Linked DNA regions of Alligator mississippiensis. The protein of the gene in region 4 interacts with the protein of the main gene of each other region in a biochemical or structural test. Links are inferred from orthologs where the notes say so. Each region holds a gene or a part of one and is shown on either strand. Other genes may lie near its edges.

Evidence for each region.
Region 1: the proteins of ERBB2 (region 4) and ABL1 form a complex in vitro, tested with the Homo sapiens proteins (3 studies listed by BioGRID and IntAct, with this or other methods). The link is inferred for Alligator mississippiensis from reciprocal best matches to the Homo sapiens genes ERBB2 and ABL1.
Region 2: the proteins of ERBB2 (region 4) and STUB1 form a complex in vitro, tested with the Homo sapiens proteins (4 studies listed by BioGRID, with this or other methods). The link is inferred for Alligator mississippiensis from reciprocal best matches to the Homo sapiens genes ERBB2 and STUB1.
Region 3: the proteins of ERBB2 (region 4) and TXK form a complex in vitro, tested with the Homo sapiens proteins (2 studies listed by BioGRID and IntAct, with this or other methods). The link is inferred for Alligator mississippiensis from reciprocal best matches to the Homo sapiens genes ERBB2 and TXK.

What each region holds. Positions count from the first base shown.
Region 1 is NC_081835.1:59,333,726-59,341,595, reverse strand, and holds the start of ABL1 (tyrosine-protein kinase ABL1), read right to left. Parts: upstream 3,014-7,870; 5' UTR 2,061-3,013; coding exon 1,925-2,060; intron 1-1,924. UniProt on the Homo sapiens protein: Non-receptor tyrosine-protein kinase that plays a role in many key processes linked to cell growth and survival such as cytoskeleton remodeling in response to extracellular stimuli, cell motility and adhesion, receptor endocytosis, autophagy, DNA damage response and apoptosis.
Region 2 is NC_081836.1:29,911,669-29,918,907, reverse strand, and holds the start of STUB1 (E3 ubiquitin-protein ligase CHIP), read left to right. Parts: upstream 1-4,225; 5' UTR 4,226-4,282; coding exon 4,283-4,498; intron 4,499-5,055; coding exon 5,056-5,254; intron 5,255-6,015; coding exon 6,016-6,181; intron 6,182-6,553; coding exon 6,554-6,644; intron 6,645-7,239. Other genes in the region: uncharacterized protein LOC106737444, read right to left, coding at 657-809, 1,535-1,694, 3,531-3,738, 3,901-4,028. UniProt on the Homo sapiens protein: E3 ubiquitin-protein ligase which targets misfolded chaperone substrates towards proteasomal degradation.
Region 3 is NC_081825.1:57,156,803-57,163,909, reverse strand, and holds the start of TXK (tyrosine-protein kinase TXK), read left to right. Parts: upstream 1-4,091; coding exon 4,092-4,201; intron 4,202-6,776; coding exon 6,777-6,852; intron 6,853-7,107. UniProt on the Homo sapiens protein: Non-receptor tyrosine kinase that plays a redundant role with ITK in regulation of the adaptive immune response. Regulates the development, function and differentiation of conventional T-cells and nonconventional NKT-cells.
Region 4 is NC_081827.1:165,333,966-165,341,947, reverse strand, and holds the start of ERBB2 (receptor tyrosine-protein kinase erbB-2), read left to right. Parts: upstream 1-4,975; 5' UTR 4,976-5,214; coding exon 5,215-5,302; intron 5,303-7,982. UniProt on the Homo sapiens protein: Protein tyrosine kinase that is part of several cell surface receptor complexes, but that apparently needs a coreceptor for ligand binding. Essential component of a neuregulin-receptor complex, although neuregulins do not interact with it alone.

The DNA.
Region 1 (7,870 bases), on a different chromosome or scaffold from region 4:
AGTAAAGTTGGATGATAGCACGTTTTCTTTTAAAAGGCAAGAATCACAATTTGAGAACGATAAGGAGCACCAAAGACTACTACCAATTCCTCCTTGCTGGTTTGTTTCCCAAGAATGGCATGCAATTCATTCACAGAACAGTGTTTTGTAGGTCAGGTTTCAGCCAGGAGCTTTTTAAACAGCCTTAACCCATAGCAGAGATGAACAGAAACAGCAGAGCAGACTTAACTATTGTCTGTGTTGATGAGAGCCTCTTCAGATACTCAGAAGAGAAGCTTTCCCTCATGTGGGTAAGTGAGACCGTACTTCTGCAATCCCTTAACAGATGTACTAGTCATGATGGCCTCTTTCAAGTTATATTCTTTTTTTAATTAGGACACCAAGGTCTCTGGTGGACATATGGAGTATGGGTATCATAGATACTCCTTTTCCTTGCAAATGTGCTAGGCTCTCCTGACCTCAGGTCATCCTGGCAAAAAAAGTTACCATCTGTCTACTCCTGTTCGATGAGCAAAAAGCAGGCTTGCTGCCTTGTCTGGCAGATCAAAACCCTGAAGCTGGGCAGAATATTGCGTTGCTTGTAGTTAAGTGCTTTGTTGCTCACTCTGGCCCATCTGACCTTGAAACTGTCTCGAAAAGCACAGAAGCAACAGAGATGGGGAGGGTGCACTTGTTTTTCTTTTTTCCTTTCCAAGGTACTGAAGCCTTGGCTTGGAGTGTTCTCATAGCAAGAACATGCCACTGATAAGAGGGCTGGGTCAGCTCCGCTATTGCCTAGCTTTCCACGGTTCAGCTTCAGTTAACAAACAATTGCTGTGCAGTGATCAGGCAGGGAAAAATAAGTTAGTCGGGACTACTCTGATTGGTTTTAACATGTCAGTGTATCTGCAGCATCTCCTGCTAAGAACCCTATTGAATTCTTTGGTCCCATTGAAAAATTAAAATCACATAATAAAGCCATTTACCGAACAAACCTCACTCCGCAGACTTCATTTTCACATCTTCACCTAGTTTGGTCTTTTCTGAGAAGACAAATCTAGCAAAGTTTTCTACTGGACAAGGATGATAATGTTACTTTATTCAGCATTTTTACCCAGACAAACATGGTCGTGATCTGTTTCTTGTCAGAAAGCCGTAAGTAATGAGAGGTCTTAAAAGAAGCGAAGAATTCAAATGAAGTGCTAGACAAGTGAGGAACAGTCTAAAAGTTTCTTTCTGCATCCATCTTTTAGAAGGGGCCCTATTACCTTAAAATTTAGTCAGCCAAAAAATCTAAGTTCAAATGATGAGTTATGGATATTATCACCCTCTCCCCCAGGCTGCACTGACCATTGGCTGTCCCGTGACTGGGTGCACAGCGCAGTCGTACAAAGTCCCTCAAAAGTCACTGTCCTGAAAGCAGGTCCATGTGTGCAGAGCCCTATACCTACAGGCATCGTCACACCAGGAGACTGGCCTAGCTGGTGACCCAGAGGAAATGAAACTGAGAGTGATGTCCATTCACAGGGGAAACGCACACATACACACGCTTCCAGGCATCACAAACATACCCACAGAAGTGACAGCCTACCTTCTAAGCACAATCAGAGGTTCACAAGGACACGTATTACCAAACTAGTTCATGTCCTTTAAATACACAAGTGAAAGGATGCAAAATATTCTCTGACCTTAGAGGAAAAGACAGATTCTCTTTTTTAATTTACTAAGAAGCTGCTTTCCCTGCATTTAAGCTTTATAATAATGCTCCCTTCTCCAAGCCCACTCATCAGTCACGCAACTGGGAAACAGCAATTGAACATGCCAAAATATTCTTAGGCACTAATCACGCATAAGCAGCAAAAAACCTTGACCTCTGCTTTTTTTTTTTAACCCCTTCAACAAGCCAATAGTGCGCTGTAGAGGCCAGGTCAATTCAGCCCCTTACCATGCTCCACGAAGACATTGCAGTGAGGGCCTCCATGCCTGGATGACTCCTTCTTCCCTGCTCCCTTGATGAAGTGCAGGGCAGGCAGACTCGGCCTCCTTTGGTCCCCAAGAACTTTTCCAGGCTGTTGCCCCATAAAGTAACGCTGGGCTGCCGCTCCCAGGACCAGAACGATTCGGACACAGACAGCCCCGATCTTCCAGGCTGGGAGTTTTGCAGGAAAACGAGACGACCGAGGAGCAGGGGGCTGTGTTCACACCATCCTCCAAGCAAGTCACTTGAGGCGGAGAGTTCAGTCAGGTGCACCCGTGCTCCCGACGCTCAGCGAGGCCGTGCGGGTGGCTCGACGTGAAACCGTGCACGGTAACGAGATTCAGGAAGGACAACAGGGCTTACGGAAGCGTCAAGGGGCCCGTCTACAGCGGCTCGTCCGCCCGGTGGGACGAGAACGAGTTCATCTCGCCGAGCACCAGTCACCCAGGGCAGGAGACGGTCATTCCCCCGCAGTCCGGGTCCGCGTTTCTTTTTTTCTTCCTTTTCTTTTGCATAGCATTCAGTGAGAAAGGCCAAAAAAGAGGTAAGGAGAGTGGGCGGGAGGGGGGGGTGGCTTCAAGTATTGGGGGGCGCCAACTCGGTCACACCAGGCTCGTCGTCCCCGAAGCGACCGCGTCGGACGCTGGCCCACGGCTACCTGCGCCACCAGTGCCTCGTGCTCATGGCGGAGCGACGCGGCCGGGCCCCCACCCTGCCCCGCTCACGAGGGCCGCGGGGCGGGCGGTGGGGGCCATGGGCAGGTGGCGGGGGGCCGGTTTCGGCAGAGGTGGAGCCGGGGACGCTGGGCCGGCTTCATGCACCCCTGCCCGTGGGGGGGTCACCCTCACACCCCAAGGAGGGGGGTTGGGTCTGGGGCCACACAAGGGGGGGTCAAACCCCAAATGGGGGGGTTAAGGCAGAACGAGGGGCTCAAACCCCAAAGGGGGCTCAGACCCCAAAAGTGGGGGGGGGGGTCAGGCGGGGGGAGGGGCTGCGACCCCAGGGGGCGGGGGAGGGGCACGGGGCGGGGGCGCTGCCCGGAGCGCAGCGGCGAGAGCAGCTCCCGGAAGCCGCGGCCCGGCCGCTTCCGGCCCCGCCCACCCCGCCCCGGGGCTGGCCGAGGGGCGGAGCCAGCGCGGCAGCGGCGTGCCGTCACCAGGCCCCGCCCCCCAGCACCCTTGAGGAGGCGGGGGCAGGCGGGGCTGCACTCGCCACTCGAGCTGTGGCGGGGTGCGGTCCGTCCCAAGCGCGCAGGAGAGCGGGGTGATAATGCAGCTCCGTGCGCTTCCCGTCCTCTGCCATGACCCCTCGGGTCCCTCCCGCCTCCGCAGTGCGTCTGTGCGCATGTGCCGCAGCGCCGCCCGAGCCGGCTCCGCACCGGGGGCCCCGTTCCCAGGTGGCAGTGGTGCCAAACCAGGGATGCTGCCACCTCAAGTAGTCCTGGAGGGGGGCCCCAACTCGAAAAGTTTGCGAGCCGCTTCTCCAGGTGCTTTGTGACCAAACCCTTCGACACACAGTTGAGCAGGACCTATTCTGTCTAGCCCAGCGGTGGGCAACATATGGCCCTAAAAAATTAGAAAATTAATATTTATTAATATTTATTTGCTCCTAGCTGCCTGTCAAAGATGACAGGAGCCAGGGCCGGTAGGACCCAGAGGAAGCTAGTGGCAGGACCCAGCAGCAAGGTTGGCCCAGCCCTTGCCCCCCTGCCTAGCAGAAGTTTCTGGCCTGGGAGCCTGGGGCTGTTCCTGCTTCGCTGCACGGGGAAGGGAAATGCAGCCCTCAACAGTTTGCCAAAACTCGGTAAGTGGCTCTTCACCCAAAATAATTGCCTGCCCCTGGTCTAGGCGCAGTTGTGATGTACATGTTCGCCTGAATGATGGTCACCTGTTTTGACTCCAGTCGTTTGCCAGCATTCAGACCTTGCGCATTGTTTCCAGCAAGAGGAAAAGCCGAGGAGACAGTTGTTTCTTTGATGCAATCCAGTTGATTTATGAAGAACATCCTCAGAGTCCTGTTTTCCAGGACACAGCTGGACAGTTGCTTTGCTAACAGGTCTAGGCCTCTCTGCAGCCAGCACGCCACCCAAAAGCTTCCGCCACTGAGGCTTAGATCACGTAGGTTTCTCTGCTGCCTTCTCTCTCCGACTCCCTGGTGTTTCTGCCGCTCCCCTTCTCCCTTCCTCCTCCACCGCCCAGGGCACCAAAGGATACCCCCGTGTAAAACCCACAGATTGCAAGGGCCAAGTCTTGCTTGTGGCCAGGGCTGCAGAAAGCAGCTCCTACTCTTTCAGCTGTCTCTTGCACAGAAGGGGTTTCAATGCCTCTTGCATTCCTCCTGAATGAAGTGTGGTGGTTACACCCACCAGCTGCAATGAGGTTTCACCCAACCCCCAGCCTCACAGGATCCTGAAACCCCCTTGTTCTCTACCTTAATGCCAAATCTTAACATGTAAACTGTTTGGTCCCCAGGAAATAGAGACAGTGGCTTCAAGGCTGCCTTTGACAGCAGGGTTTTTTATACTCTGACAAGTCGTTCCGCTGGGGCTCATTTTTAATTCACCCAACACCACTCCCCAAACTTTCCTTGCAACACAGGCATGAACCAGGAATGACCCAGTAACTACATCAGAGTAAGCAACAATTGGATTAATTATACGTTTGCATGAGATTTAAAAATCCCAGCGCACATCACTGGGAGGGCAGAGGTCCTTCTCGATGCTATTAAAGTAACTCAAACTTGAGCAGTAATAAAAACAACAGCAATCACCTAGTAGCTTCAATGTTTCTCTCATTTCTGCCAGCAGCACCCATCAATAGGAGAACCCTCCCTTGCAAATCCTTCCAAGAGAAGTAAATGATGGGTCCTAAAAACTTTAAAGCTCCTCCGCTGTAGATGAAGCTTACCCTGGTACTTGCCCTTTGTTCCCCCTAAACCAGTGGTTCTCAACCTTTTTAGACTCAAGGCACCCTTCAGAAAGTGCCAGGTGTTAGCTTTCATTTGTTTTTTAACTACAGAAAAATAATAGAGCAAGTTTTCTGTTGCAAAGAATTCAGAAAAGCCACAAAAAAGTCACAATGTTTTTGACGTTATGGATTCCCCTTTGAAATCTTCGGCTTTATCTTGTGAATTGTGGAAGTGTTTGCACCCTGTGTCACCTTAAAAAGGATCGCATAGCACACCAGAGTATTGCAGGAGCCTGGTTGAGAATCATTGCCCTAAACAAAGCTTAATACTCTTTGCATCCAAACATGCACAAGTGCAACAGAGAGCTTGCAAACAGGCTAAATGGTGGCTGACACAGACTACATACACTTCAGTGTAGATGGAACAAATTAAAACCAGCTTGTTCTGAGTGCATTTGGTGCCCATTTGGATGCCTCAGCACTCCTTCAATTAACATGACTGTTGATTCTAGCTTTCCCTTTGCTCCCAAGCCAGAAGTTAACCTTGGTCTTTCTGTTTCCTCCCCCACGTCTCCCTTGCGTGGAATTCGCTTACATCCTTCCCTCGGAGAACTGCCAGGAATCATCTTTACCTTCACCCTGCTTTTGCCAAAATCCTTGGGCATTTGTACGTGCCACGGCATTTGATCCTCATTAATTTAACATTTGATCCTCATTAATTTAATGCACCTTATAAATTTTAACCCAGGTTATTTTGGTACGTTGAGTAGGTGTTTGCACGCCACATGCTTTCCGATGAGTTAAAGTCTCGCGTGTAATTCCTCGCAGATTCCAGGGGGCGGCAAATACCAATCTACCCCCAGTAATGTCTTTCCTAATGAATTCTTGTGTCTAGATCACTTCCTAGCTCAGTTCACTTTTTAAATGGTCTTCTTCCACCCCTGTGCCCTCAGCTTCAGGAGGCCAGGGTACTGCAGCTCAATGAATCGATCCACAGAGCACAGCCTTTAACACTTGGTCCTGTGTGTTTCTCCCTGCAAAGACCCTGTGATGGCAGAGATGTGATGTCATTCACTATTCCCCAAAATGGGAACTCTCACCTGCCCTGTACAATCTTCTGGCTCATAGCTCTTAAAAGATATGACTACACAGGGTAATTCATCAGAATAATTATTGTAGAATGAGTTATTCCTCAACAGCTCCCAGGGTGGACGCTCTTATTATGAGAAAAGCACCTTTTCCTGATTTAGTTTAATTCTTTTTTCCGAAATGGATTATGCTAACTTGGATAAGAGTGTCCGCACCAGGAGCTATCTGGAACAGCTATTATGCTTCAAGTTCAGACTCTCTTCTTCTGGAAAAGCTTCCTCACGTAGACAACCCCTAAACCTTCCCTTCCCCCTAAGTTTCAGGTGACTCTGGACATGGACTGATGACCCATATATATTGGTTCCATCAGTGTTACACAAGTGTAAAAACATAACAGACAGATGCAGCCCCCAAAACTGGGGTAATGTTGCCCAAGCAGACAAATAATATACTTGGATTTTTTCAGGGGTTCTTCATCAGTGAACTACCAGGGAAGGTTTCATCTGTCCAGCTTATGCCAAAGTAGCTATTTGCTCAAAGCAGAACAGGCTTTTACCTGTTCCCCTACCAAGTAATGGAAAGGTGCCATAATAGCAGACTACACTTTGAGCTACTCTGAGATAAGCTGCACTGTCTGTTACCTACTCTGGTACAATTTCTATAGGTGCACCACACTGATGTAACTTATGCCGAAGTATATCATCATCTCCCCACGCCCTCCCTCTGTAACGTTACAGGTGGGTCTGCAAGGGGGAACCAAGTACCAATAAACTCCACTCTACCCAACCCAACTCCAATTTAAGATTCCTGACATGAGCTTTTAATGTTATCAGTGGATCTCCACAGGGAATAACTTCCCTGCCCGTTCTGGATATGTCTCTTCCAAAGGCAGGAGCACTCTGAAAAGAAGTCATTCCTCAGGCCCCCCAAGCTGACCTGTTTGCCCGAGCTGTTGGTTGAACTGTTGCTCTGGTTATTCTGTCATCATTTAGACTGTTAGTGACTTGGTTCTGTTTCAGATAGAGCCAAACACCATAACAGCGCTAAGATCAGAGCTGAGCATCGTAACAGCGCTTAAGGATTGCCGGTCCAAATTCTGAGCCCACGGCATGTCAACAACCACCACCAGGGTTAACTACCAAAATCAAGCAGGCTTGCCTCCTCTGTGGAAAGAGACTGGTTTCTTTCTTACCCTTCTGGATCCTCTTCCTGTAGGATGTGAAACTTGTTCAGAGACTTGGGGTTCAATGGAGCTGAAGGGAATCCAACACCTGATTTCAATGAGAACAAGACTCCCAGCATGTTTTAGCTCCTTTGAAAATGCCGGGATAGTAAAACATCCCTCACTCTGCAAGTGACAGGTAGAAATGAAAAAGCTGCCTACTGGCTTGTAAAGCTACTTGGATAAAAACCCTGCTGGCTTAAAAATTGAACAAAAACCAGAGTGAGCCCCCAGAGATACCGCGTTCTGCCATCCTTCAGGATTTAGTTGTAGGTTTGGCACTTCTTTTGCTGAGTTTGCGTAGAACAGCAGGGACCTCTAGCGACCAGTTAGGAAAGTACCAGCTCCACATTTCTGTAAGCACGAAGTAAGAAAAAATAGCGCTTACCTGCTGCTGATTCTGTTCACAGGCCCCTGCCCAACACAAGGGGTTAATTACTTGGGTTCATGGGAAACTAGTATGTTCCCACACCATCACTGGTTCAACAGACCCAATAAGTTTTACTAGGAGATGGGAAATTCCTTTATCAAATAACAGAAGGAATCCATCACCATAAATTTAGTGTAGCTGAGCAAAATACTATAGGGTTGAGCAGAAACTGCCACCTAGTGTCTAGTCAAAGCCAAACTTAGGGAGACATAGGAGGAGGAAGACATGGGAAGGGTTCTCTCTAGTTCCCACAGAAAAGGCGAGAG
Region 2 (7,239 bases), on a different chromosome or scaffold from region 4:
CTTGCAACACCCTTCTCCCCAGCTGCTGCTCCCAGCCCTGTTCTGAAGGGTAGGAAAGGCTTAAAAGGTAAAACCTCTCCCCTACACACAACACCTGGTGGTACAGGTAACTATGGAAGAAGCTACCATAGGTTCAAGCAAGAGATTCTGCAAGCTAGTGGAGCAGACACAAGGCAAGGTGAAGAGAGAGATCGCACAGCAGCTGGTGCTGATGAGCAGGGACCTACCGTGCCTGCAAGATGCATGTGTAAGAAACCAAGGAAATCTACTTGATACAACTGCAAGGCACTGCCTGTGTCTCAGTTACTGGACACAGAAACTTCAGGTCACAATTTGGCACTTAAATAAATTTTCACTGGAGGATCTCAATGGAGCGTGCGGTGGCAGGGGAGTGTTATCTTCATAGCATGGATAGGGAAGGTGGAGCAGAGACCAAGAGACTTGTCCAATGCCACAAAAGCAGCAACAGAGAAGAGGAGGAAACCTGACCCCCAGCTCTGGGTATGAACTACTTTGTCCAGTAGTGCAACAACAACCTTGCCATAAGCGCTGCAGTTCTACTGGCTTTTCAAGACAAGACCTTTAAAACAGAGATGCAGCAAATATCTTCCCCCTCCCTCCACAGGTCCTACTGCAGTGTGGCCCCCACCCCTCACCTTCATTTAGTTTCTTGGTACAAAGCTGGATCCTGTCCAGGTAGCAGATGTAATGCTTGAGGGAATACTTAATGGGGGTGAGGCCTGGGATGGACTCCACTGCTTCATCTGCCATGAAAGCCACAACCTCAGGGGCTCCTGCTGCCAGGATTGCTGAAATGGGAAGGTGGGGGAGTATGCAGCAGAGGAACTGGACAGGTTGGAGGGGGTGGGGGATAGCAGGAGATGCCAAATCCTTCATCACAGCAGATGTCCACTTTCTTAGGGCCTTGGGGCTGGCTCTTGGATGCCTGTCAGAGCCTGCCAGGGCAAGCTGGCACATCACAGAACCTGAAGCCAAGCCAAGAGGACTTGTGCACACCAACACTCCCAGGAGAGATGGGACTGGACCAGTGCAGGGTTCAAGGGGAGGCTTGCCCTTGGGCAGCTGGAATTACCTCTGCTTCCACAGATAGGTGTCTCTCCACCAGCTCATCACAGCAGGAAATACACCAAGCCAGTGACTCAACCATCCCAGCTGGCACCTTCTCGTGCAGGTTTGCATGCCCTCGACCTGTACTTTCTGCTGCCCTCAGTGCTAAGGACCTCTTCAAGGTTTTGGTTTTAACAGGCCACTAGCAACTAGTTTGGCTGCCTGCAAGACTAGGAAGAACCAGTGGCTTCCCCCTTGTCCACAGGGCTGGGATCTAGGGCCACCGCTGTTTCCCAGGAGCCATGAGTGTCAGCATCTTGCATCCCACTATGCAAGTAGCAGTGCATGGCTGTTTGGGTGAAAGTGCTGACCAACCCTGGCTGTTCTTTCACTTACAGTTTGGTCAATCCATGGCTCTACCCCCTTATCTCTTCCCCATCCCTCACTGAATTCCCTTAGTCCTTACCTGAAGCTGTGGCTGGTCCTATAGCCTTTAGCTGGCTCAGCTCAGTTATGGCAGCTGCCACATCTGGGAGGAGCTGAAAAGCTTTCCTTGTACAGCGCTCCACTGTCTCCTGGGAGTTAGTGGCCACCAGCTGCTGCAGACGAGGACGGAACTTTCCCCGCTAGAGGGGAGGAGAGAAGGCAGCAAGGTGAGCCCCCCTCAACTGAAGACTTAGCTGTGCAGGTGACTACAGCTCATTGCTTGTAACCCCAGGGGCTGAAAGGGGCAATACTCTTATTAGAGGGGATCCAACTCTGAGGCCATGAGTTCTTTGCCAACCCTTTGAAAAAAAAACAGAGCAATTCTTTCTTGGTATACATTTCTGTTCAACTGTAGTCCCCTGACTATGCTCTACATGCCCCCTGGGATCCACCACGCCCTAAAGATAAGACTCTGAGGTCAGAGAGAAGATAGCCCAAGAGGTCTTTGCCTAAAGCAATACTGTCCAACTCCCCTGGGCTTGTCCTAAAGCCACATCCAGACCACAGAGCTCCTCGTGGGCTAGATCCAGATCTACCTCTGGCAACAGGGGAAGTGGCAGTGGTGTGAACTGCTGTGGTTTCCTGGGTGTTTGTGTTGGCTCAAGGAGCCGAGAGGAATAACAGTCTTTGCTTGCCCTGCTGCCACTGAACTGGCAACAAGGCTCTGTGCCCTAGTATTCAGCAATGGGCCCAGCCCCCACTCACCCCAACCCCTCTAGGAGTCTTGTGGGCTGTGACAGGTCCGAGGGCCAGACCTGGTCTGCGGGCTGGGTCTTTGACACCCCTGTCCTAAGGAATAGGAAGTTGGGTAACCAATTTGGAAAATGCAAAGTGGTTTGAGGCTGAGCACAGTGTGCCTGGAGGAAAGTTTACTTGTTCACAACTCTCGTGTATCTTTTCCAGCTACTACGCCACCCCCTTACTCTGCATCTTCTCTGGGATTTTACCTTCCTTTCCTCGTTTTCCCAAGTAGACAACAGCCTTGCCTTCACGGCTCTATCCTATTACCACGACACTCCTATCTCAGTGCAGTTTCATCTACCTTCTCCTTTCTCCCAAATATTCTTAGTGACTAAGCCAGCCTGCTGCTTTCACCCTGCCCAGCTATAATTGGACCAACCGCTCCATTCCAGTGGATTCAGAGCCAATGAAAATAATTCAATTATAAGCTCACTGATGCAGATAATCTCTCTGTGCGCTCAAAGAGCTGTGGGCAGTACTAACGCTGTGTAAAAACAAATTAATAATAATTCCCCTGGAAATCCAATCACAGGCCTGTGGAGCTAGTGGGAGGAAACTGACCAAGCTGTGTGAAATGCAAAAGGTTAGGATTTATCTACACTCAAACTGGTTTGCTGCTATAACATGACTGGCATGGCTGGACTGCTAAATCCCCTACTGGAGATGCAGTCATTGGATCCTTTAAACTGTTGTGTTAGGACAGCTCACACCAGTTCCCCAAGTGGAACAGACTATCCCAGAAATACGCTGCTTTGCCATCGTGACTGTATCTGCATTCAGGCTTCAGTCGTGTAAGCTGGGCGATAACAAGGTGAGCTAAGGACAGAGCTCCATCATGCTCCTAACTAAATTTGTTCGGCTAGCAAAGGTGTTTACATGGAGACAGGATCAAAAAGAAACGTGACATTTCTAGAGATGAGGCTACTGACTCCTCAGGCCCGACTTACCACAGCCTGTCTGCAGCTGAATGCAACTTAGAGCAACCCCAAGGTTGTTGCAGGTTGAACCAGGGTCCAGACTGATTAATTGATTAACAAGCCGCAAAGATGACATAAAACTGCTTCTCTACCCCTGCCCTGGGCCAGAGGCTATGGCCGGCCCATGATTTCTGTCTCAACCTTAGAAAGGTAAGCACAACAGTTACCAATTTAAATAGCTGTCAGACAGCTGGCGCGCACGTGCTCCCGAGCGGAAGCAAACACTCAATACCCTGCAGACGTCGGATCTCCCAGCACCTGGAAGAGATGTCGCAGCCCGTGGGGGGCTGAGACCCCCGTCCCAGCCGTGCATCCACTCCCATTATAGGGCTGAGACGCTGCACGTGGCCATTCAGCTGGGAAGTGACTCACGGTGAGTTTCCACTGCATCAGCTTCACTACTTCGCCCTGGGTCAAATGCTTCTCTTTCCGTCCCGCGAGAGCAGCCGGCAACTCCTCCTGATACCTGAAACAGAGCCCAGAGCGGGCAGGACTCGCGCCGCCGCCTGCACCCGACCCCCTGCGGCCCCTCGTGTCACCGGGGCACCAGAGCCTGGGGCTCCGCACTGGCGACAGCTTCGGGCGGGACGAGCAGTTGCGCGGGCGCCGCCGCCGCCGCCGCATTTACCATTTCTCCAGCCCGGCGAGGCCTTTCCGCTCGCTCCCCTTGGCTTCGACCACCGCCCAGTGCAGGTCGCGCACTCGTCTCCAGCACGCGGGGTCTTGGCAGCCGTAGAGACCTCCCTTGGCCGCCATGTCTGTGAGGACCCCTCGCTCCCGCGGTCGCCCCCGCTCTCCACCAACGCTCCCAGCACGCGCCGTGCGATTCGCGCCAGCTTCCCAGTGTCCCCTGCGGCAGCCCCAGCCCCGCCCCTCACGTGACCCCTCCCGCAGGCCACGCCCCCGTCCCGGAAGTTCCGGCGGGCGGGGCGGGGCCGTGGCTGTGGCCGGCGCCGTCGGTGTCGCAGCCGCAGCGCAGCGCCAGGCCGGGCGGGCGGGCGCGCGCGGGGATGAAGGGCAAGGAGGAGAAGGAGGGCGGCGGCGGCGGCGGCGCGGGGCCGTGCGGGGCGGGGCCGCGGGGCGGGGGGCCGGGCGGCGCGGGCGCGGGGCCGGGCGGCGGCAGCCCCGAGAAGAGCCACAGCGCGCAGGAGCACAAGGAGCAGGGCAACCGCCTCTTCGTCGGCCGCAAGTACCCTGAGGCGGCCGCCTGCTACGGCCGCGCCATCGTGAGTGCGGGGCCGGGGGAAGAGAAGGGCCGGGCTAGGGGCGGTGCCGCCGCCGCGCGGCCTCTACCGGGCCCCGCCGCCCTCCAGCGCGCCTGGCTGGCAGGGCCCCGCGGGCCACGGCGGGCCGGGGGAGGCCCCTTAGCGCTGGTTCCTGCCCTGGCCCAGGAGCAGGCAGGAGGGCAGGGGCGGCCTAGAGCCGGGGGCGGAGTCCAGGGCTCAGGACCCGCGGAGCAGTTGCAAGACCCCCGAGCAAGTGGCCCAAAGCACGAGGTCTGTCCCTGTGATACTGTAGATGTTAACATAAGCAACACTGAGGAAAAGGAGGTTTTGTAAAGATGGTGCAACATACATATCTGCATAATGAGATCCAGTAACAAGCAAAGGTCAAAATAAGCTAAATATCAAGGCTGAGTGCAGCCTAGTAGACTGTATATAATGGCCCAGGAGAGTAGTGGAAAGTGGTCACACACCAGGAAGCCTCCCAGCCCCAGCGGTTAGGGAAGTCTGGGGGTGGTGTTGCCCTGGGTTGCCCCTAACGCACGCAGGTCTTCTTCCAGAACCGCAATCCCTTGGTAGCCGTGTATTACACCAACCGGGCCTTGTGCTACCTGAAGATGCAGCAGCACGATAAAGCCCTGGCAGACTGCAAGCATGCACTGGAGCTAGACAGCCAGTCTGTAAAGGCCCACTTCTTCCTGGGTCAGTGCCAGATGGAGATGGAGAACTATGATGAGGCCATCGCTAACCTGCAGAGGGGTGAGTGCCTGCCAGTCAACAGGCAGCTGGGCCTGACTCAAGGCATTGACAGTCTTCATAGTCTATTGACCTTCCCTGCTAACAGGAGTGCCCTGGCTGCTTTTAACTTACCGGCAGGGGGTGTGGCTGTTCTCTGTTCAAAGGTGCTAGGATGGAGGCCCTAGCTAAGCTGCAGGCAGGCCTCCCATCCTGAACGGGCACAAGTAGCGCCCACCTGCAAAACTACAGCCTGTGAATACAAAGTAGAAAAGGCTGGAGTTGAGCAGGGGACAGCTTGGAGTGACCGTACGTGCACAGCTTCTCCCTAGGCCGGGGGTGTTTGGAGCACCAGTTGAAAGCCTGTGGGAGTTCAGTGCCTCTGTGCTTGACCACACACCAGTCATGTGGCTGCGGGTGAGGCCCAAGGGGGAGTCAATTTCTTTGGCAGCTGCTTGGAATTCAGTCCCCAAGCAGTTTCTCTGCAGCTGGTATGGTGGGGTTCGGGTTGTAGCCTGCAGCTTCAAGTTTAATGAGCCCTCCCCATTTGCTGCTTTGTGCTACAGCAGCAGCATGACTTAGGGCAGTGCCACTCAGGAGCATATTAGCCACTTAAAGCTGTAGATGTCAACTTCCGTCTGCCCTGCATGTGTAGGTGCTGGCGTGGCCGGAGCAGAAAGAGTGAAACCATCATCTAGAGGCTGGTATTGCACTTCTCGTGATGAGCTGCACTGCCAAGTGGGTTTAGGAAGGCTTCTCTGCTGACCTCCACTTTGTCTCCTCAGCCCACAATCTTGCCAAGGAGCAGCGGCTGAATTTTGGGGATGACATTCCAAGTGCCCTGAGGATTGCCAAGAAGAAGCGCTGGAACAGCATTGAGGAGAAACGGATCAACCAGGAAAATGAGTTGCACTCCTATCTGACCAAACTTATCATGGCTGAGAAGGAGAGGTAATGTGGGTAGGAATCTCTTCCCCCTCAGCAGCTAGGAGGGATGGCCTGGAAGAATATCAGGCCTCTGCAAACAAGGGGAAGGAATTGGAGAGTCCTCTGAAGGATGAGGGCAGCCTGGCCTCATAGACTGACTTTGCTATCTGGGGTGTGAGGAAGGCAAAGGGGTTGAACACCTGCTGGCATCTGCTGTTGCCCTAAGTAGTCTGGTGCTGTTATAGATGGTGGAGTCCCTTTCTGAGAAAGTCAGAGGCTTTGTGCCAGGGACCTGTGTTAATTGGGAGGTGACCGCTCCTCCTTCTCCAGCATGGTGTTCCTGGTTGCTTGCCAAAGCTTGCTCTGTGCTGTAATATTCTTCTGCATCTGTCCTAGGGAGCTGGACGAATGCCGAAGGACACAGCAAGAGGAAAACATGGATGAGAACCGGGGCAGGGCTCAACTGGCCAACATTGAAGCCAAACATGTAAGGCATCTCCCTCTTTGTATATTTGGGACTCCCAGGGGGGTTGGACTGTTTCAGTGTGTTTTTGCTTGGGGAGAGCTGCAAACTTGGGGGGTGCTGCTTCCTTGGGCCACCCTAGCATGAAAGGTGGTAGCCAGACCTTTTTGAGGTGAGCATAGACCTATGGGTGACCTCTGGGTGGTTGAACCCATGGGGGCACCAAGAGATGCCACAGTAAAACCTTTGTGGGAATTCTGGAGCACAAAGGGGAAGTGGCTGTCACCATGTCCTGCTTTCCAGGCTGCTGTGCTGAGCGAGGATGACTGTTGGGAGCAGAGCTATAATCACAATTGCAACAGGTCAAGGAAACAAAGCAGGTTTCCCCTCACAGTGGCTGCTGTCTCCAGTGCTCAGTGTTTGTATAATGCAGGCTGCTTCTGAAGCTCTTTTTACACCAGGTGCCTGTCCAATACCAGCAGCTGCAGCCCATGTCAAAAATAGGTTGAATGGTATTGCATCCCCTATTTATATCCTGTGCCCTGTCCATGCTGTGCGATGCATCACTCAAGGTAGCTTGTCTGCTGTGTGGTGTCTGCTCAGGGCACAGTGGGCTTTT
Region 3 (7,107 bases), on a different chromosome or scaffold from region 4:
TTAAGAGAAATTGGCAAATGCCATCTTCATCATTTCTCCTGGATGTGATCCCTTAGCATTTTCCAACTTAATTCCTTCTTTACCTATCATTATAACTTAATTTCATTTGAAGACTGGGGCAAAAATGTACCTACATTACTCCAAACTCAGTGGCACATGTTTGCTACTCTTTCTAATTTCACACCTTTTACAGCACAGTAATTATATTGATTTCAGTTGAATAATTCAGTTGTAAAACAAATTTGATGGTACAAGGAACAGGACTTCAGCACATAGACTCCTAATTTACACTGGTATGAGATTTATATCTAGCCTGTGAATTTTTTTTTCTTAAACAGGAAAGTAGGTGGGGTTAAATGATGCTTGTGTTGTACCATACCACGCATCAAAGCTAGGCTTTCAGTTAGAGGGGTTTTAGTGTTACTGAGGCAACAACTGAAGAACAAAGGATAACATTTTTATATGAACTCAAGCAGACGATCAAACATGACACTTTCTACCTGTAAGTAAATTCAACCATGTATTTTGTACTTTATGTTCTGTTGTGTGTAATAGCACTTTAGCTAGCAAATGAGATGTATAAACATCACTGCATAGTCCAAGTGGCCTTTTCTTGCACTTTTAGGTTTTATTTGTTAAAAACTCCTGGTGATAACTTTCCAAAGTACATTACAAAATTGCTATGATGGATTCAGTGAAGCTACTACCTTCACAAGTACAAGGATAGAGAACTCAATTGACTGGGAACACAAGGGAATGGGAACCAAAGGCCTCTCCTTAAATTGCCTTTAGAGCATAGATGTAATACATAAGTTTTATGGTATGAAAGCTACCTTTCTGGTTATGAAGATGTTAGCTTAAGAAAGAGTTAACTTAAAGAAAAATACTAATATTCCAGTAAGCTTTATTTATGAAAGTTCAAAGTTTGGTTACAAAAATATTTTTTACAAGCAAGCTACATTATTGATTTACAAACAGGCAGTGTTTACTACTGTTTTAGTTTGGATGAATACTGAGGGATATATGATCAGTTGATGGGGATTTTCTATGTTACAAAAGAGTGAGATTTTTTTATTGATGAGTAAAGATGGGGTAGGCAAGTCAAATATTCCTCAATGTGCCCAATTTATGTGGTTAGCTCAACCTGTTCAAAATAGTAAACTGTTCAGGGTTTGATATGAGACTGCAACTGAGCTGTCAACATTTAGCATTGCTTTAGAAGTAATGAACACATGCTTACCCCTCCTTAGAAACTTGACAAACAAAAATATAAAAAGATGTATGATAAGAAAAACACATTTCTAACTAGACTTTTGTTTTGTCTGGTTGTCTGATGATACATCCCAATTCACCTTAATGAGAACAGTTTACAAATGGACATGGAAAGGATATGAATTACATGTATTCATATGTGTGTATTGGCCATGGACCTGGTAGGTCTATTAACTGAAAGGGCATCATTAGGTTGTCACATTTTGTGTAACCTCTTTATAAGCTTAATATTTTAGGACCAAAGTTGCTTATAATAGCAACAGGAACACAAAAGGCTCCTGCACTTCTTTATATTCCCCCTTAGTTTTCATGGACATGTCTGCATTTTCTCCTCAAGCAGCTCACCTTTTTTCATCACCACTATAAGCCTGTCTTTTCTTCCTCCTCCCTTTCTCTGACACACTAGACTCCTGTTCCACATAGCTAGAGCCAGCTTCAGCTCCTTTCCAAGGTAAGTTAGTTCAATAGCGGCTGTTAGACATTTAAGCTAAAGATTCCTCAGCGTATCTTTTGTCACTCATTTCTCAGCACCACCATCCACGATGACAACATGACAAACTTGGGAGTCAAGGGATTTCAGCTGGTGTAAATTTTAAGTCAAGTTATGCTGAGGATATGGGCTAAGGATGTTTTGGCAGCAAGGGTGGAAATGTTGTCACTATCACTTCCATGTCATGGTGATAAGAGAATGGCCTAAGAGATTCATTTTTTTTTATATAGCTTATGGTACAATGTTTTTCTGTTGTACTACACAGAGAAGAAGGTGCTAAAAACAGGTTGGCAGCAGAGCAGCTTTAGGCAGATTTAGTTCCAAACAGAAGTTGACTGTAGATCAGACATGCTGCAGGAAAAGAAGTAAAGGTATTTTCTACCCAATCAAGTCACATATGATATCTGTAGTTTATAATATTGTAAACATAAATGGCCACCTTATGGCCAAAGAGCAATGATATATTTGGACTAATGTAATTGGGGCAGGGATGAACACTTTGAGTCCATATCTTATTGCTATACAGCAAACTTGTTTGGCATATACAAAATGTTTTTTCCTAGTTTGGTAGGGATTTAATCTACAGTCCACTAAAATCAATGAGAGCCTTTTCATTGATTTCAGTGGGTCTGGACTGGACTGAATTCAATGGATGACTTGAATCCAGGAAGAAAGTATGTAAAAACAATGTTTTAGCTATAAAAAATAATGGACGAAATTTGTTCTCATTTACATGCTCACAGCAGAATCTGCTTTTTTGTGTGTGTTAGTTCTTTTGCTTCAAATTCTCTCTCTCTCTCTCTCTCTTTGGAAAGGAAAAAAAAACCTGCAAAATGAGAGGGTAGATGGCCATGGGAGTCTATATATTGCCTATGCATCTGTCAGGAAGTGCAGGCTTCCTGTAGCACTTTATTCAGTATTGCTATGATACCTGAAGGCAGCTCTGGGTGAATATAACTTCCTGTGTTGCTCATATGAGACTGTGACATGAATCAGGCTATTAGTTACTCACACAAGGAACTAAGAAATTTGACATTTGTAGAGAGGGTTTGAGTTATACAGATAAGAAGGTTAAGTCTTCTTATTCCAACATTATACCTCAAAACAGCTATGGGCTATTCTGTTGGTTTAGTGGCTTGTGAACTAAAAATTCTCATTTCAAGAGGGTCAGAATAGGAAGGTGATATCATTTGTACTGTGTAATTAAAAAGCTTCCCAGTGACCTGGAAGGGGCAACTCTACATAATTAGGCATTTGTTTGAGGTAACTTAGTACAGGTGGGCAGTATTGCGGTTAAGGGAGTTGACTAAAATGAGATTATATCCTAAGAACTTCAATTCCCATTTTTTAAAATTAAAACTAAAAGGTTCTTTGAGAACTCATTCCATGATACTGTCCTCAACAAACAGTACATTTCCCCACAGAAACATGGCACGTGAATAATTCAGCTTTCAACTTTATTTACTACTACTGGGTCCAATTTGCAGCTGCTAGTGAGCAGCCAAAGCAGGAAAATATTAAAAAGACAAAACAACTCCAGAAATCAGACTGCAAAGGATGGAGCTGTTTAGATCAAGAGATATGCAGAGACAGATCTGCTTCTAGAGAACTGAGACTGTCTTTTCCTTAGGGTCTTGATCATAATCCTTGCTTGAAAGATAAAGTGAAGCTGGGGTGATCTCTCCAGGGCGCAAAAGCCTGGGCAGTATATATGGAGACAGTGAGCTGCCCACTCACCAGTGTTCCCCTCTCAGCCTTGCTGGTTTAATCTAAAGGAAAAGCAGATTAGGCTCCTAAGGATTTGGGGTTTAGCAGGCCTTCACCCTTGTTATGAGCCTGGCATACCAATCAGGAAAGGCAAGCATAAGAGGAAGGGAGGGAGAGGCAAACTGCAGGACTGCCCTGTCCTTAGCATATTTTCTGCTCATGTCTCTGCAGAAGCCAGTCATTTGGGCCACTCTGACTCACAGTGCTAAGACTAGGAACCCTGTTCTGAGTTAAAGCTCAAAACTTGATGCAAATTTTGCTCAGGTATGAATAGGGATCTAAAATGTGTCATGTGAAACACCCCCTTACTGATTCAACCCATTGCTTTTTACAAATTCATGGGCACTATAAGAAACTGCCTGGTAAATGTATGATTAGAATATCTATAAAATTTAGTATAATCATGTAATTTATTGCAGGCTTCTCTTAACCCAGTAAATTTCAAGTACCAATCATTAGCAGAGAGACTGAATTTTACTTAAGTCAGAAAATTTGTAGATTGACAGTCTAGACCTTACTCATATCAAAACACTATACACTGATAGAGGTCTATAGCATCAGCATGAATTCCTCTATATTTGTTGTTCCAGTCAAATATTCAGTATTACATAAGAATGATGGTTTAATAATACTTACAAGTTCTATAGCGCCCAATCTTAAGAGCTCTGATAAGTAAGTTGTAAAAATAACTGAATCTCATAGGGGTTAATAAGAAACACTAAGAGACTACTTTACCCACCATGGAAAAGTAGGCCCTTTTTTTGATGGAACAGTGTGTGTTTGACAACACATGGCAACACAATACAGCCATCTCATAGTGTTTGCATCTCCTATTGAAACAGCTGAGGAAATCTTGATAAGTGACAATGTAATTATCTAATCTAGAATTTAGTCACCCTTGCTCTTTTGAAAAGCAGCATAAACCCTCCCATGACCAAAAATAATCAGGCCACCTTATTCAAATGGCCATACCTTAAAAATGACCCTTCCCAGACATTTATTCAGCACTGCTTGGAAGGGCAGAGTGCCACCTGCCAGCTCACCAATTGTATTTTCCTCCTGCTTAGCTCTGCCAAAACAGGCTACAGGTTGACTAGGAGAGCACTTAATGTACAATGTAAAGTTATGCAGCAAACAGATCACATTACCTTTGCTTTTCTATCTAACTTCTTTAGCCAAAAAATGTCACTGTCAGCTGGTGTGGGTATTTACAATATCCATACTTTGCATAGCCGTCACTGGAAACTTTTATCAAGCTGTTTATGATGTCTTCTGATTAAAATAGGCTCACCAACATCCCACGCTGTAGACTCTTCACAGAATGCCACTGTCAAGGGAAATTGTCCCCACAAGCCTCGCTGGCAGATATTCAAAGCAAAACAAGCATGAGCCATAATGGGTCTCTTCCTCTTCCGACTAAGAACTAATTTTGATATTATCTTCCTGACGTTCTGACATCTTTTCCTTTCTTTTTATAGTGCAAGATTAGTAAATTAGTAAAATATTACACAGGTCTGTAGTGGTCAAAAAAATTCAGGTTTCACTAGAAATGCCACAGAAACTTAGACTTTTAGAATGCTATGTGTACAGACATTCTCAATAATCTTTGCTGTGCTACCATGCTGGATTATATCCAGCTTCAAATTGACTCTCCCTCTTGCAACTCATCCAATCCCTGTCCATCTGCCAAGGCCTCACACAAGCAATTCCAACCAAGCAACCTAGCTCAGACCTCTGATGCTGCTATTTTTCCTGTTGACACATTTGTGTCTTTTTCCCACTCGTGCATCCTTCAATTTACCACCAGAGTATGAGGAATTGCATAAATCCAGTAGTTGTATCATACAAATGTGATTTCCCCTCCCAAGGTCAGATATAAATTCTTGGTTTAACAAACTGTCAAAAGTCTTGGTTTTAAGCCTTTTATACCTGAATTATTAATAATGATGATAATTGTACCTATATGCTACAGCTAGAGATGTCCAAGCTATTTAAAAACATTAGTTAATTCTCACAATGTCCTATTTCCATTTTATATGTGGATAACACAAAGCAGAGAGAAGATATCAGTAACTTGTCCATGACCATATAGTAAATAAGTGGCAAGCCAGTTACCTCCCAAAGAGCCTAGCATTTCACTACCATCCTCTCTTCCATAGACTTATGTTCCATAAAGAATAATGTTTGATAAAACTTAATTGAAATATGTCATCCCAAATCTTTTACACACAATAGTTTTACAAGGATCATCATCCCAGGTTGGGCTGGGGAAATAAGCAGCCAAAAATAGTGATGGAGGAGGGGAGAGGGAGAAAGAAAAGGAACAAACTAAAGTGGAACATAGTAAAATGACTGTGCAGAGATCGTGTTACATGAAAACTAAACTTGGAAAATGGTTGCTCTTTGGGAGACCATCTAATACATCTCCTTAGATCTTTTTTCAGTGCTGAATGCCATGTCCTTTGTAGTAGAGAACCGACAGTACTCAGCTGTGCTAGATATTGAGACTGCTGCACAGATGTGGAACCTGTTGTTCTCTTTGGATATTTGGCTTCACCTCTTACTCACCCCTTTTATTTAATTCTGGGTATGTCTACACATGCAATTAATGCAACTGAATAAACTCCAGTGCAATTTGAGCTAGAGTAAACTAATCCTGATGTCACCATCTACATGTGTGTTTAAGTGAAGTAATTCACTCCACTGCCAGATAGTATCTGAGTCTGACAGGACTATTCAACAGCACTGTAAATTAGTCTACACCATCCCAATTGCTGTACATGTGTACAGGGTAATGCTTTACTGTGCAGTAAATTAGTTTACAGTGTGATAAAGCACATGTGTAGATACCTCATCTGTACAGTCCTGGGCTTCGCAATCATGTCCTCAGTGACTTGTCCAAGGTTTTACAGTGAGTCCAGCTAGTAATAGAACCCAGCACCTATGTTACTCCTCATTTCAGTAACCAAAAAATGCTAAAAATATGGGAAATGTTTTTTTCAGATCACACCATCCAATCTGTTTTCTGCTGCTGCTGCTGCTGTTCAGTGCAAAAAAGGTAAATCAAATACGTTATCTTCCCACTAATCAAAAGCTATATGCCTTGCAAAATAATTACATATAAACCCTCATTTTTTGGTAGATCTGCTGAAACTTGAAAAACATGGATGCATTTCCCCTTCCCACAGCTAATCTGAATTTTGATATATATATTCACATAAACACTGTGTTTGTCTTTCAAAATTAGAGCGGTGAGAACAAAATTGAGTCTGGACTGTGATACCTCACAACAACTCTCCTATGCATCTACCCAGAAGTACAGAGTAAGTAATATTTAATGGACAAAGGAAACTGAAGTATAAAGAGGTTAAGTGCGTAGTCCAAAGCCATATAGTGAATCAATGCAGTGCAGACGATGGGGTAACTAAATCCCTACCAAGTCTTTTGAAGTTGTGGTGCTGCAGATTTTATATAAGCACTCTAAACAGCATTTTATCATGATTTAGAAGTAATGCATTTTCTCAGATAGGAAAGGGCTGATTATAGCATCACTTTCATTTGGCCTGATGCTATTGACT
Region 4 (7,982 bases):
CCCCCCTCCCCTTCCTGCTCCCCTCCCTCCATTGTTCCCCGCCACATCCCCTCCCTGCCGGCTGTTGTTGTGGGGGGGACTCCATCCCCTCTGTTATGGTGGAGCTCTGGTTCCCATCGTCCCCCTCTGCCTCCAGAGCGCAAGAGAGGGGGGCGAGGCCAGCTCCACTCCCCTCAGTCCCCACTGTCATGGCAGCGCTCTGCTGTCTGTCCCTCTCTGTATAGCGCACTCTGATTGGCTGCTGAGACAGCCAATCAGAGCACGACTAGAGCATTATGGACAGACAGACTTGGGCTTTTATAATATTAGAATGGGTGCAAAACCCAGCGTGGATACTCACATTTTGGCTGAAGAGGAATTTATGTCGGTTTGGTTTAAACTGATTCCTAATCAATTTCAGCTAAACTCAGATAATAGAGCTTAAATTGAAATAAAAGCATCTACATGCTCTTTTGCCAAAGCTTAGTGCAATTGGCTCATGATCGCATCTTAGGTCAGGGTGGGCAAAATGGTGGATCTGTCTAGTGACCAGACTCCATTTCCAAGCAGCCTGCCTGGCTGGGGGCAGTTTCCATGGAGACCCCAGCAACAGCCTCACTGTGATAGTGCAAGGCCAGGGTTTCCATGGAGACTGGCCCCAGCAGCACTGGCAGGGTGCAGGGCCAGGGCAGAGCTGCAATTGGCTGCCTGCATGCTCCAGGCAGGGGTGTGCAGGCAGTGGATCACAGCTCTGGCCCAGCTCCTCCCAGCACCACTGCCATCACTGCCTGCCCCACACAGGTGGCAGCAGCTGAGCTTGCCCCACTCTCACCCGCAGCACAGCCCCTCCAGGCCTCCCACCAGGAAGAGTCTGGCGCTGCTGGGGTCGGTCTCCACCGAAACCCTGGCCCCTGGCTGCTGCTGGGGTCTCCATGGAAACTGGCCCCAGCTACTTGGGCTGGGGCTTCTGGGAAATGGAGTCCACTACTGACCGGATCTGGACTGCGACCCAGACTTTACCCACTCCCATTTTAGGTAAAAATAGGTGCAAACTTTTCCAGGCAGACCAATCCTCAAGTACCACTCTGTGTGTAAAGAAGGCCTAAGAAAGATAACATGGGTGCCTTCATGCCAAATTGGCAGAAGGTTTTGATTTGAAACTATCCAGGCCTAAGTGAGCTATGGGTCTTCCATCATGGAAACTCCTTTCAAAACAGTGCTGTAAAATCACTGACAAAGAGAGAGCCAGTTGCAATGCTAGATGGGACCAAACTCTTTGTCTTCAAATCAGCTAACATCCTTTACCAAGCTCACTCTGGGCTACCCTCCAAGATGCAACTGTGTTTTAACCCTCCCCCCCAATGTAAGAGGCTCCCCTTCCCTTCATTCTTCCTTCCCAGTCCTTGCACTCCACTTGCTTCTGCTCACTCACACACAGACATCTCAACCAAAGCACAATTGCTGCAATTGTAAAGCAGGGCCTGGCTGTTATCAGGTGCAGATTACAGAGAACACAGAGCAATAAACTTGTTTTCCCCTCTTTCTTTTCCCTCCCATTTTCAAACTGCTGCAAGAAAGAGAGGGAGAGAAAAAATAAATAAAACAACAACAACAGATGGGTTTTTTTTCTTCTCCTCTTGGCTGCCTGAAGGGCTCGGCAGAGGCTTGAATGGAGTTCATTCTCTAATAGTCCCTCCTTCATCCAAGATTTTCCTCCCCGGGGTGTAATCTGTCAACCCAACTCCTCCCCCAAACCACCCTCCCCTGCCCTGTGCTCTCCTTCAACTCAGAGACAGAACTGTGGCAGTCTATTGTAGCCCGGATGACAACTTCCAGCTACATGAGGAAATGAAGTGAGGTCTGCCAAAGGGAGCAAGCTCCTCATATTAGTCTTTTCAGGCTGGGGACAGGCACCAAGCAGTAAGCACCAAATTCCCAGCAGCAGCATCATGTCAATATCCACTCAGATCCAGTTCGCACATGTACTTTAGAGACGTTCCAGGACATAACCAAACTACCCTGTGCTAGTGGAAACATTTAGGATTTTAACTAGCGGGCTCTTCTCATACGCATTATCTTAAGAGTATTAACTAGCAACAGTTCCTTGTACCGAGAAACTGAAGAGGCTGCTCTTAAGTTGGGATACAGTATATTATATAGAAGAATAACTCTGAGATACTGTACCCCTCAGAAGCCTTCTGCCCGCCACGTTCAAAGACCTTAGAATATGAAGCCTCACAGTCTCCTGTATTTAAGATCCGTTGTGCTGTTTTAGAGCAAGGGAAACTGAGGCCTAAAAAGGTGAAGTGACATGTCTGAAGGGGTCCAGTTGGGTATGGCACAGATCCCAGTATGGGACCTGGGAGTCCTGTCTCCCAGTCACCTGCATTGACTAAATTAAGCAACCTGCAGTAAGGAAGTGACAACTCCTTGGCTCAGCGCTCAGTTACATTTCAGTGTGGAGGGCTGAAGTTTAGAAGGCAGAGCTGGATATGGGACCAAATTCAGCCTTGGGGCAAAACCACTACGAGTCCTTTGAAAAATCAGGGGGAATGGCAACATTATGAGAGCATCATCCACACTGGAATTGGCCCATTTGAGTGCATGAATGGCACTTGAATGCTGACTCCCTAAAGAACTCCAACAATAAGCAGCAAAAGTAACTGATCTGTCTTGGGGCTTTTAGTCTTGTCACGCTCATGTCTGGATAATCTGAATCAACGCAGGCTAACACCCTCTATTCAGTGAGCTAGAACTACCCTCTCACATAACACTTTATGGCTGGGGTGGGCAAAATGCAGCCCAGGAGCCAGATGTGGCCTGCCAGGCCATTTTATCTGGCCCGCGGGGCCCCTAAAAAATTTAGAAAATTCATATTAATCTGCCCTGGGCTGCCTGTCATGCAGCCCTTGATGGCTTGCCGAAACTCAGTAAGTGGCCCTCTGCCCAAAATCATTGCCCGCCCCGACTTTATAGGATCCTTTTTCTTCCTGGCAAGGTAAGGAGATGGGGCAGGCTGGAAGGCATCTTTCCACAGATTTTCAGGCCATAACGGGCCTTACTGATTATCCAAATTTACCTTCATTATCCTAATTAGGACTTTTCCATGGCATCCAGCCCATAGTAGTACCAGTTATTTCCTCACCCAGAAGCAAAGAGAGGTCTCTGCTGCTCAGTTTCAATCCAATTTGACTTTTCACAAAGTTTTGCAGTGCTCAGATTCAGGATCTTGATGCTGGTTCATCTACCAATCAGGGATTGAATAGGCCAAGAAATCCATCCTGGGAGCCTCTCAAGCTCCACCCACAGACCAAACTCCTCCCCTTGAGAGGTCAGAACAAAAGGCCACTTACAGATCTTATACTTTCACCCTTCTCCTTTCTCAGATATCCTTATCAGCAGCAACATAATTAACAGTGAATACACAAAGTAAAATGTATCAGCCCTGATCCACAGACTTCAGAGCTAACACCAGGCAGCAAGGGGCAGTTCACACCCCATGGATCTTTTGTTTCAGACTTTCAGCAAATTCAAGCAAAGATCAGCATTTATTTACAGTCCAGGATCTGAAGACTTTTTCACATTCCCATAAACACCTCTTAAGGAAAGCTTGGATTCTGGAGTGTAAGGAGGTCATCTCCACATAATCTCCTTGTGACAACACCACCCTGGCAATTTACAACTCTTATTTCTCCTATCAAGAAATGCCACTAATTAAGAAATATCAGGGGCAGGAGTGGTGATGTGAGATGCTAAAAACTCCAAGATCAGACTATTTTTCTTACAGCTTGAAGGAGGGACAAGGCGGCAAGCACCAACAGACAGTCTGATTTCTGAGGGGCTGAAGTTACTGATATGGGAGCTGGTGCCATCATATTTAAGTACCCCACAATTTTCCTTGCTAATTATTACACTGCAGTGTGGCAGGGCAGTGCCACTGTCCATCTATACAGAGTGGGGACTGGATCACAGTGCATCTACATGGCAGATTCTCCAGTGTATACATACCCAAACTTGCTGTACAGGAGCAGCTGCACAGAGCTCATTGTGAGCCAAGCTGTTTAATGGTAGTCTGGGTATCTTTGCACGTCAACGTAGGCTCAACCCTTACGTGACTTACCTACTATAGTCTCACACTGGAGCAAAATAGGGAACCTGGCGGCCACAGGACACTGGCAGCCCACATCCTCTTGCTTTACATGAGGTAGGTTAAGGTGTTTGTGGTGTCTTTGGGCAATATTCCTTGCAGTTGTGCAGCTGGGTTGATTGTGTGGTTTTAGGAACAGGCTAGACAAGGACTTGTATGGGATGGTTAAGATAGGCAGGGGGTTGGACCAGATAGCCTCCAGAGGTCCCTTCTAGCCCTGTCTTTATGACTCTTGGGCTTCCTATGATAGGAAGCCCAAGAGTATCCTAACACTTGCACCTTCCTTCCCTTTTGAAGGGGTTCAGCACCCTCACAGCCAACTGAAGATGATGACAGGCTGGGATTCACAGATAGGTGTAATGCCTATGCTTGGCATTACACCTATTCTTCAAAGGATCCTGGTGTTAATTTGGGCCCAGGGCCCAACCCTTCCCAGTGAGAGAAGCCTTTAAAAGCCCATCCCCTTCAAAAGCCTTCAACCCCCCTGGAAAACCTAGGTACGTATTTCACTGGTGTCTTGGGAACTGCACTCTTTTGGAAATCCATTGCTCAACCTCAGCCTGCAGAATGGCAGTGAAACCCATCTGCCAAGCCTCTCTCCCTTACACTCTCTTTTGTCTTTCCCTGGAGTGATTCCTAGAGCTGTTTGCCAGCTTGGGGGTACTAGAAAAAGAGATTTCCCCCCCACCAAGGCATAGGCAGAGATCAGCCCTTCCAGGCTGCAGTGTCATCCTATTTCTTCACCTCTCACTTGACTCAGATCTGTGCCAGGGCAGCCCGGGCTGGGCTGAGAAGGAACGAAAGAGGCAAAGAGCAAAGTGAAATCGGACTGACCCTGAAGCGGCAGCACAGGGAGAAGCTGCTTTCCCAGGAGGCGCACAATGGTCTTGGCACAGAGCAGGCACGGAGTGCCTTACCACTCCCAAGGGAGTTGGAATCCAGCTCAGGGGCGCGCCGCACGTCCCGAGGAGGAAGTGCAGTAGCAAAGTGGTGTGTCTCTGAGCTTGCAAAAGCAGGGAAAACACACGCGCGAACTTTCCTGGCCGGACCCCCCTCTCTCTGCCAGAAGCCATGGGCTGGAGTCTGCAATGAAAACGATGATCTCTCCCAGCAGCTGCTGCTTCTTCATGGGGCTGCTTTTAGCCTCTTTTTTGCCAGGCTTCTGGAGCACCGAAGGTGGGTCAGATTGGAAACGGAGGGGAGGGGGGAAAGAAATGGGGGAGGGGGTTGGAAACTGGAATGGGACGCTCAGGAAAGGGAGAAACTTCAGAGGGCCGGTGGGATGCGAGGGAAGGAAGGCAGCAGCTCTGGATCTTGAATATTCCGGACTCCAGCACCCCCGGGGGGGGCGGGAAGAGTGGGTGGAAAGCAACCCCCCAAAACTTCTGCTAAAGTTCATGGAACTCGCGTGGAGGCAGAGATCAGACCCACGGGAAGAATCGCGGTGAAGTTCCTCAAAGATTTAGCCGGGAAAAGCAGAAAACAAACTCCCCACCGCGAAGAGCCAAGTGCGAGGGGAGCCGGGAGCCGGGCAGGAGAAGAACTGGTCAATTACTCGAGCCGCGAACTTGACCAGGGCCCGCGAGCCCTGCAGTGATCCCGCCCGCTTCAGCCGCCACTCCAGTGTTGTTTCGTGGGGTTCATACCCCAACCAAAAAGGGCGATCGCTGCTTTTCTACCCCCGTCTCACTGTGCCGGCACCATGCCACAATCGGACGTGACCGTGAAGGCAGCGAGCGAACTGCAGTCGCTCTGGGACTGGCCGCGGTGCGGGGCCGGGAGAGAGAGACGGAGTTGGTTTTTAAAATGGTTTCTTTCATTCCTTTGCTGCTGCGCTGAGGCAGAGGGTGGCTTAGACATTTCGGATCTGTGGAGGGAGGTTTTATTGTTTGGTCGGTCGGCGATTTTGCTTCTGGAGCAGAAAAAAAAAGCAATATAAGGCAGGCACTAAAGTTTCAGGCTTGGCACTCTTTGCTCTCTGCGTGCGGGAAGTAAGGGGAGTGTGGCTAACTGGTAGGAGCCGGCTGGATCGCCTCTCAGGTGCTGGATGAGCTACGCGGCTCGGCACATACACTTGCATTTAGCTCGGTGTCCGTAGGGTCGCATCTGGGCCACTGGATAACCCAGAGAGGAGTTTACTTTGCAAAATTGGGAGTGTGGGGTTCTAGCTGGGCTTTGCAGCAGGCTTGGAAAGAGGTGTTTGTTTAGCAGGTTACAAAACACCTGATGGGGAAATAAGCTAGATGGCAAAGGTGTGGGTTCTCTGCATTGATGCAGATGGCAGTGTTGTTACCACCTCACCTGTCCTACCCGCTGGGTCAAGCCCTTTATGGCAGCTGAATGCTGTGAGGCTGCGGCCTTATGGCTACAAGTACATTTTGTTGGGGCAATTCTCACCCTGGGAGAGGAGAAAGGCAATCTAGCAGGTAGGGCTGGGAAGGGGAAAGGGGTGGGTAAGAATTACCTCATGAAGGCAACAAACAAGTCATGAGCATTTTCTGATTCCTTAGCTGGGTATGGGCAGGACTGGCAGATTAGGCAGATCCACTTGATGCCCATTTCTCTTAGCTCTGTAATACCCTCGATTTAGTGATAACAGGCCCTGAGCCTCAAAGAATAGTTTTTTGTGTCAGACCTGGCATCCTGAAGTGCTTCACAGACTTCACATGTACAAGAATAACCTCACTGCATGGTGATGCAGCCACTGCTGGGGTGGAGCTGCTTCATAGTCTAGACTTTGCCAGGTGTAGTCCTGGCAGAAGAGCCTTACAACCAGCCTTCCCTATGTCCTACCTTCTCTGTGCTGAGGGAAAGCTCTGCCTCTACTTGCGCCAGGCTAGCTGGAACTCGTGGAAGGAGTCTAGATAGTCTATATCCTTTAGCAGGCTGTGCCATGAGGCTGGCCCTGGTGACATGGTGGTCACAGTCCAGAAGAAGGCTACCCAAGAGTTTGACAGGAAGTAAAAGGAAAACTCCTTCAAATGGAATCCACAGGAGGGAGCAGGATTTCACTTGGCAGAATTTATTTGGTCAGGACACCTGCTCTTGAAGGGTGGAGCAGAATCCCACAGGATTCCCATATTATATCAAGTAAGGGTAAATTAGCTTGATACCTCAGCTGAAAGACAGAGCCTATGCCCCTGCTTGCTATGGTTCAGAGGGAGAGCTGCCTAGTGCCTACTGCTGCAAGAGCACTGTTTGGGTTTCCCTGTGGGTGTGTCTGTCTGCCTCTCTCTTTCTCATACACATTCTCTGTCCACACCCCATCCTATTCTGCTGGTGAGATCCTAGCAAACACCTGATAGTAAGTCACTTTCCCTAGTTCACATGCTAACCTGATTTGTCATGTTTACCTGGAAGAGAATATCTTACATGAACAGCCACATCAAATCCCCATGAAAGGGAACCCGTGTGGGGAATGTGGGATATTCTGGTGAGATCAGAATGACAGGGTTCCAAAGCAAACACCAGCACCATGCTGTTAACACTCCTGGCATTAAGAAGCCTGATCTGAGATTTTTTGGAAGGTCTTTGCAGAGGCTAAAAGTCACATTAGCTCCAGTCCTTTCTGGATGGAGTTCAGCTTGTGTGTGGTCCCATATACAGGTTGCCGTGCTCATGTTCAAGTATCCACAGCTCAGGCACCTGTAGAAACTCCCTCAGTCTATAGCATTACAAAGTCACTGCTGCAAAACTACTTTAGACAGTGGGTGGTCTGAACGAACTGAGCCTGACCTGTAGGATGTGGGGCAGGCACACAGGCCATTTACTTTGGGCGTGACTGCAAGGTTTACATGTAGTTTGACCCCTGGGGTGAATCTCTTTTATTTATGTATGTGCATTGTCTGAAGTTTTT